2 linked regions of the Bombyx mori genome follow. The protein of the gene in region 1 purifies or fractionates together with the protein of each later gene. This does not show direct contact. Links are inferred from orthologs where the notes say so. Each region holds a gene or a part of one and is shown in the gene's direction. Other genes may lie near its edges.

What was found.
Region 2: the proteins of mitotic spindle assembly checkpoint protein MAD1 (region 1) and mitotic spindle assembly checkpoint protein MAD2A purify together in Drosophila melanogaster (affinity purification with mass spectrometry; 4 studies listed by BioGRID, with this or other methods). This does not show direct contact. The link is inferred for Bombyx mori from reciprocal best matches to the Drosophila melanogaster genes Mad1 and mad2.

The regions. Positions count from the first base shown.
Region 1 is NC_085125.1:5,657,962-5,661,794, forward strand, and holds part of mitotic spindle assembly checkpoint protein MAD1, read left to right. Parts: intron 1-2,270; coding exon 2,271-2,481; 3' UTR 2,482-3,833.
Region 2 is NC_085128.1:1,144,679-1,149,289, forward strand, and holds mitotic spindle assembly checkpoint protein MAD2A, read left to right. Parts: upstream 1-1,514; 5' UTR 1,515-1,696; coding exon 1,697-1,766; intron 1,767-2,112; coding exon 2,113-2,259; intron 2,260-2,702; coding exon 2,703-3,109; 3' UTR 3,110-4,065; downstream 4,066-4,611.

The DNA.
Region 1 (3,833 bases):
TGTCGCTTACCTAAAGCTTGTGTGTACCGAAATCTCAAAACTATTCAGGGTATTCCAATTACCATCAAACCAATTACCGTTGGAACTTTCGCTTATTGTAGAAAACATAAAAAAAAAAGTGTGTGTGTCCGCTCCGACGCACGACTGGAGTTTACTGGATATAAAAAATTAAACGAAACAATACGAGAAATAGTTCTATATTACGACAACACGATACACTACAGATTATTAACAAATTAACGAGACACAAAACAAACGACTAACAAATATATGAAAATACAATAATGAGAGAAACGCGCGATCAGTACGAGGCTTTGTGGCGGACTGCCGGCGCAGCAGCCCGGCGTCACCTGCGATAACGCGGCCGCGCGTTGGCTCCTGATTGGCGCGCGCACGCATCACGCAATCAGGAGCCAATCAGGCGCATAACGCATTTCGTGTGACATGCTAGTACGATTTTGGTCCCCATAATTTTCATACCCCGGGCCTATATATGTAAATCGATTCTAAAGGAGTAAACTCCAAAAATCTATTTTGATGTATTTACTTATTTAGATCCTATTTTAATACCTATATAAGGATTCCAACATGCATGTGTCTATCTATCTATCTATCTATCAGCCCATGGACGTCCACTGCTGGACATAGGCCTCCCCCAAGCCTCGCCACAAAGACCGGTCCTGCGCTGCCTGCATCCAGCGGATCCCCGCGAACCTTAATAGGTCGTCGGCCCACCTTGTGGGAGGCCTACCCACGCTACGTCTCCCAGTACGCGGTCGCCACTCAAGAACCTTCTGGTTGATGTGTACGCTCATAAAATTTTCTTTCCTTTCACTGCATTCAGTACATTCCTAATAAAAATTTTTTGTAAATCCGATATAGTTATAATAAGCGGCACGTAAGTTGGCAAGGTTTTGGTGTAGTGGGGGTAATGTCGCGCATAGTGCACATTGCAACAAAAAAATGGTCACTTTTATTGCCCGCATATAATTTAATTTAATTTTTTATTTGCCATAATTTATTTTTAAGCCTGTGTGTTTAGAAGAAAGTTAAATAAAAGAGAGGAATTCGTGAAGTGTATTAGGTGTTATAAATAAAATACAATTAAAAGTTAAGAAGTTTATTAAAAAAAATATACTTAATATTAAAAATTATATCTCGCCGTCGTCACTATCATTTTCTAATAGTGCTACCCCTTGGATTAAATTTATGGTAGCACCTGAGCTGCTGGAAGGAGTTGGCTCCTCATCGTTGACATAACGAAGAGTCGCTGTCGTCACTGACGTAAATAATAAAACGCTCAGTAACTGAATCGAATATATGGTCATTGGTATTTGGTCCTGGCATTGCAAACATCTTTAAAACAATAACACTCGTAACAAAAACGAAATTTAAAACAATAATAACAACTCGTAACAAAAACTCAATATAAACAAAGGGTTCCTACAACTTTAGTAGGCGCATGTATAATCGGGAGCGAATGGAACGTGGACGCGGTGCGGGAGGGGAGGGTCGACTGACTCACCAATAGCGCGCTCGGAACGGTGCTACGTCTTTCCCCGCGTCCCGCTTGACAACCAAAGAGACCTAAAAACGACTTCTGCGCATCTAACGACTCTTGCCAAGTTACGTACCGGGAACTATATCTGTAGATTATGTTACATTTACCTTTTAAATTTCACTTCTACAATGTTAGTCATCTCAAAATCAAATCAATTAATCAATATTATTGGTTTAACAATCATGTTAGATTTATCCATTGGTTATGCCCGTTAACACAGATGAGCTTGGGGTCGTGTAGGTCGAAAACGTTAAATAAAGTATTTGTTCGGTGATATATTACCGAAGAACACCTTTGTCAGCATAATTCGCGTGACGCGTTAACTTGCGTACTCGTTGCGGATTTTATCAAGCCTGGTCAAGCCGCACATCCACCTTAGCATCTTCGTTTCAGCAATTTGAATGCTATGCACGTTCCTTTTGGTTGCCGCCCATGTTTCGCTGCCATACTGGTGTAGGACCTCTTGTGAGTCCGCGCGGGTAGGTACCACCGCCTTGCCCATTTTTGCCGTGGTGCCTTTCGGTTTGAAGGGTAGGGGCAGCCGTTGTAACTATACTTGAGACCTTAGAACTTATATCTCAAGGTGGGTGGCGCAATTACGTTGTAGATGTCTATGGGCTCCAGTAACCGCTTAACACCAGGTGGCCTGGGTGGCCTACACCCATCTTTTTTTTTTTTAAGTTTACTAAGTTGTTATCTTTTCGTTCAGGATATCGAATATGTACGCGGAGTCGTCCGAAGAATATTTAACGTTTACCCTGTGCGACGACGGCATCGAGATGGTCCACACCGACTACTCGGAGACTCTGGGCGATCTGCTGGACCTGCATCTGCACCAGCATCAGTCCATACCCTTGTTCCTCAGCGCTCTCACCATGGAGCTCTTTACGAAAACCACAATCCAACACGCGATCGAATAGATTTTTTTTATTAATATCAGTAATACCGTAGATTGGGGCGAATCGGGACCCTTTCCAAATCCAACACAAATTTTCAATGGTTTTTCTTAGCGTTATTATACATAGTTCATTACAATATATACACAAAAACTGAAAAAACTAGCTTCACCGTATAACAGTATGGGGAAAATAGAATTTTTCGATAGGGCTGGCACTATTTAGTTGTTAGGTAAGTACCTAACTTTAGGTAATTAACTTTTTAATATCTTTAATGAGTTAAACAACTTTGATGACTAAATTAAACTATTTAATATTCTTAAACACTAAATAAAAGTCATTTTCAGTTCAACAAAGTTAAATCTAAAGTTCAACAAAGCTAAATCTAACAACTCAACAAAAGTATTGTGACATCCCAGATTTGTCCCTATTCTAACTCTAGTCTCTATTCCTCCCAATCGACTGTCCGTCATTGTTTATTCTGTTTAGGAATTTCAATTTGCGCAGACTGTTAAAATGTTAATGTATGCATGATTTAGAGTTTGTTTGTCAGAGCGTCAAGAAAGGATATATTGTGACCCCAAAATTCGATTTAAATACAAAATATGTAAGAAATGAATCATGTTATTTGTCAATTGTGTTAGCATGTATACGATAAATGTGCGGGATCATACATCTTAAACAAATTGTTGAATTTTTATTATTTTTAATGAAACCCACTGTCTTGCCTGATGCGGAGGATAGCCGCCATTCAAACACCATTGTGACCTCACGACTTGTGAAGACCAATACCATGAGCTGGCTAATCCACCTGCGCCGGTAAACAAAAAAATCTTTGACATAGTAACATTATTGATGAAAATTGAGGTCTGTGTGTATGTACTTATCATTTCTATTATTATATAAACTGTTCAGACCATCTCCGAGTTCCAGTTTGTATTCTTTATTTGTTTCACTTTTTTATTTTTTTATTATTGCCTAGATGTGTGGACGACCTCACAGCCCACCTGGTGTTAAGTGGTTACTGGAACCCATAGACATCTACGACGTAAATGCGCCACACACCTTGAGATAAAAGTTCTAAGTTCTCAGTATAGTTTAACTAATTATAAACAGATAGATATACAAAAAAAACGTTTCTGTGAACAAGATTGAATTTTTAAGTTAAAGTATTTATATTGACATCCTACATGCCCTAAATTGGGGCGAGTTATATTTTTGAAATTCGTACTAGAAGTGTCTATGGAACGTAATTTTATTTTATTGGCTTGAAACAATTTAGTTAAAACCATCAGGGCCAATGTCTGATAGAGAAAAACAGTTCACTACATTCCTATTTGTGAGTTACTTTTAAAAAACTGGACTTTAAGAAGGTA
Region 2 (4,611 bases), on another chromosome or scaffold:
GTAACTAAGACCTTTAAGCCATGTCTTATTTTAATTTATTTAAGTTCATATTTTTATGAAAAATGATAATATGAAATGAGATGATATGGGATGAAATATAATCTCAGTAAAATGGTAAATATTTACTGAGATTTGTTCAGTGCACTGTTTGAAGGATCCCGAGAAGTTACGTACAGCGGCTTTTTTTTTAATTTTCCCACATTTGTGCACTTTCACAGATATTAAACAGTTAATAAACCACCGTTATTACCAGTGGTCGGAGTAGGTAGATTGATTTCATATACTTGGATCAAGATATTTTAATATGGACATGCCATTTTATCCATAATGATTATTTTTTTAAAATGAAAAAAATTATTTTTAATCCTCATCGGATACAATTTCTATACTTATAAAGTAACAAAAAAGCACTGTCTAAGTTTTGTCTCATACTGACAAGCGTCATTTACAATTTAACAGAAAGGGACAAAATAACTATAACTATAACTATACACATATATATAATATATAACTGTAACTATTCCAAGGCGTTTTTGTATAAAACAAAATACTGATTTCTTTTACCATTAGCTAGCACTGATAGCGTAGATTACAGGTGGCTGTGAACTCGTCTACCCATCTAAGCAATAAAGAAAAAAAAAATTATTATTACGTTTTTCACTTTAAACACAAATTCATGCTAATTTCAAAATTCCGGAACAAATATCACAATAAATATGAAGTTCCAGTATTTTGGAGGCATATATATATATATATATATCCATATTATCCTCTACGTTTGACGTCAACGACCTTAACTCAATCTACTTACCCACTCTGACCTCTAGTTATTACACATTTAAACCTGAAGAAACACTAATTAAACAAAATAAAACAAATCACACAACTTCACTCCTCGAGTTCCCGCCAAAAAGTTCTTAATAGGTACCTACATATTGTTTTTGTTTCATAATAGCATCATACATGGTGGTAAGGCCTCTTGTGAGTCCGCGAGGATAGGTATCACCACCCTGTCTATTTCTGCCGTGAAGCAGTAATATGTTTCGGTTTAAAGGGTGGGGCAGCCGTTGTAACTAAACTTGAGACCTTAGAACTCATATCTCAAGGTGGGTGGCGCATTTACGTTGTAGATATCTATGGGCTCCAGTAACCACTTAACACCAGGTGGGCTGTGAGCTTGTCCACCCATCTAAGCAATAAAAAAAAATCAAATGATTCAGGTTGCCGAAGTTAAGATTTTACCCTTTTAGTTTGGAGGATAGAGATTAGGAGCACATCATCATCTTTGTGTGTTGATGTAGCTGTATGTAGAGAGAGCTTATTTCTATTTGATCTCATGTATTTAAGTTTATTACCACTTTACTTAAAAATTAATTTATTTTCCTCAGTTCCATTTCACTTTGCGTAGTATATCAGACGGAGTTTTGTATTTTTAATATGTAAGCAAAGGGTATATGGAGGCGTTTGAGCATTGACACTTGATTTAAAGGAATTTTTGACATTGAAGTTTGAATGAAATGTTTTGAATTATTTGAAAATAACAATTATCAACGGACGCGCTGAATTCACCCAGTACCTACATAACGGCTCGTTTGTATCAAATCGTCCCTACATACTCAAGTGTGTATATAAATTCATTGATTTTGATTATTGATAGAACGATTACAGCAATATAATCGACAAACAGCTGACAACTATGTCACTACAACAAACAAAAAATTGTATTACTTTGCGCGGCTCCGCTCAAATTATATGCGAATATTTGAGTAAGTAACATTGTTTCTCTGTTGTTCTGGTATCAAAAGCTTGTTTTCCCATTTTTACCACACAGCCGTATAAGCATATATGCGCTGAAAGCTCTGATACTAATAATAACCTGAGGTTGTAACCAGTATGTTGAAGTGGCCATGATGGACATGCTTATTTATTTTTATTTATTGAATTAATATATTTTGTACACACAGCTGTTAGAAGAAACACGACCATAAAGATACAGAGTACAAGGGCTTACTAATGTGGACTACAAAACCATTATAAATTTATATGACTAAAGTCCACATTTGTTTAATCCCTGTGAGTAGTATAAACTGATTTATTTACTCATGTTTTCAGAATTTTCAATAAATTCAGTACTGTTTCAACGAGGCTTATATCCACCTGAAACCTTTAAGGCAGAAAACCAGTATGGCATCACACTGCTACTCTCAGAGGATCCTCAGATCAAGAGCTTCTTAACAAATCTTCTTACACAGAGTGAAGGTATCAGTTAGTCTACATCCAAATCTAATATGATTAATAGCAGTTCTTAGTAATAATTAGTAACTTTTTTGATGGACTTAAAATAAAGATCAACAATTTGGGGAGTTCTTTTATCATTCATTGTTTTTAGTGGCATTGTATTTATGCACGAATGAGATGAATCAACTGCTCATGTGCTGTGTTTTGAGGGCCACTACTGCTACCTACTTAGCTCCACACCTTAGTCTGGAGTTTTAGGAGTTTTGACATCCTTTAAATAAAGTTTTACCACAGCAATTTCTTTAGTTTTCACAAGTCATAGAGATAACTGAAACTAGTACAAAATTTAATGTACATCAATAACCTTAATTGTCAGTACTCACAATATCACAAAACAAAAATAATATATGTGTGATATAATCCATTAAAGTAGTTTTAATGATGTTATTTTGATGATATTACAGAATGGATTCTTGACAAGAAAGTGAAAAAACTATCTCTGATCATACTAAATGTGGCTAACAAAGAAGTTCTGGAATGTTGGGACTTTAACATTCAATACGAAGATGGAGATACTGCTTTATCTAAGGAGAAAAATGAAATGGTCGGGAGCAAAGATTTGAAGAAGATACAACAGGAAATCAGAGATGTTATGTTACAAGTAGCAGCAACAATATCGTACTTACCGCTATTAGATTGTAGATGTTCATTTGATGTTTTGGTTCATGCTAAAACAGACTGCGATATTCCAGAAAAATGGGCTGAGGCACAACCAGTAGCTATAGCCAATGCTCAGAATGTACAGCTAAAGTCATTCTCGACTAGTTTACACAAAATGGAAACAGTAGTCAGTTACAAACTCGCAGATTGATTGCAGCTTTACTTTATAAGTTTTCTATTCTTTTTAAGTATCTCAAGTAATGTAGTTTGTAATTATCTAAGGTAAGGTAACATATTGTTGAAGAGAGCATGCATCAATTGCGTGATGACCATCAGGTGACCATAAGGTGGACTATGACCGTCTACCCATTTTAAATAATAAATAACCTTTACTGCTTTCTCCCCTCTCTGCAATAATGTACTAGTGAATCTTTAATGACTCATAATTATAGTAATGGTGAATTTTAAAATGAAATTATGCCATAACAATTACTACAGTTGTCGTGATGTGTTAAGTTTTAGTTTTTTTTCTCAAATAAGAAGGAAATCGTCAATCAAATTGTTAGGCCATTATTGGTTGTAGACTGTTCTCGATCTAAATACGTATAATTTTATTTAGTGACTAAGTTACAGTAGGTATTGATTATGCTTTAAACAGTCTAAAGTTTGTTTTAATCTCACAGCTAAGTTTTGAGTGCTTGGTTTTACAAACAATGTTATCTGACTCCCATACAGGCCAATAAAGATTATTGTTAGATACTTGAGAAAAACAGTGATGTTCTCACACGAGGCTGGCATTCGCACATATTCTATGCGTTAAGACCTGAATATGGAGTTGATTTTCTAACAAACGGTTATCAATATCTTAGCCCCACAAGTAATTTTGTTGGTATCTACAAATGGAAATCATTTAGTATTTAAATGGTAATGACTACATCTCTAGTTCGCTTGTTCATGTATCTACTATAATACTGTATACTTGGGCACTTAATGGGCACCTAAAATTGAAAATAATTTTATATTATGTGTTTTTAACTAATAGCAATCAACCGAAATCTATATTGTGTTCAGTATTGTAAATATAAAATGTAAGTTTTAACTGTGAATGTAGCACCTTCGTTTCAATGTTTGGTATCATTTTGGCATGTATAAATGAATTTAAAAGTGTTTGGTTTTTGTCTTGTTTAAATGAGCGATGATACAAGGGTGATATAAATTTTCTACTATGACTACAGCATAATTTATTCTACTTTCGTTACGTTTCTGGATCGATTCGAGGCCAAGGTCGTCGTGTATGTCAACGTTCCTCACGAACCACAGCTCCGACGGCCAGCCTGCAAAAGCTGGATTGTAGGGATTGGAGGGTGTCCAAGTGTGTGCGGGCCGCGTGAGCAAACACCACACGCGTAGGTCATGACGGGCCTTATGCAGATTTATTTGGTTTTGTAAAGTGTCACCTTGTTCCGAAGGGATCCGGGGGATCCACAAGTCAGTTTTTGGGCGATGACGGCTTTGCGTTGCCCCGCCGCTTGCGTCTGATATGGTCCATCAGTGACGGACGGTAAACATTATCAGATTTCTACAATGGCAATAAAAACAGAAAGACGATCTGGTTAAACCATTTTTCAAATAGGTTGCTGGTGTATTACCATTTTGATACCACAATACCTAAGGGGTGTATACCTATAATCCAGAGGCTCCCAAAGTTTTTTG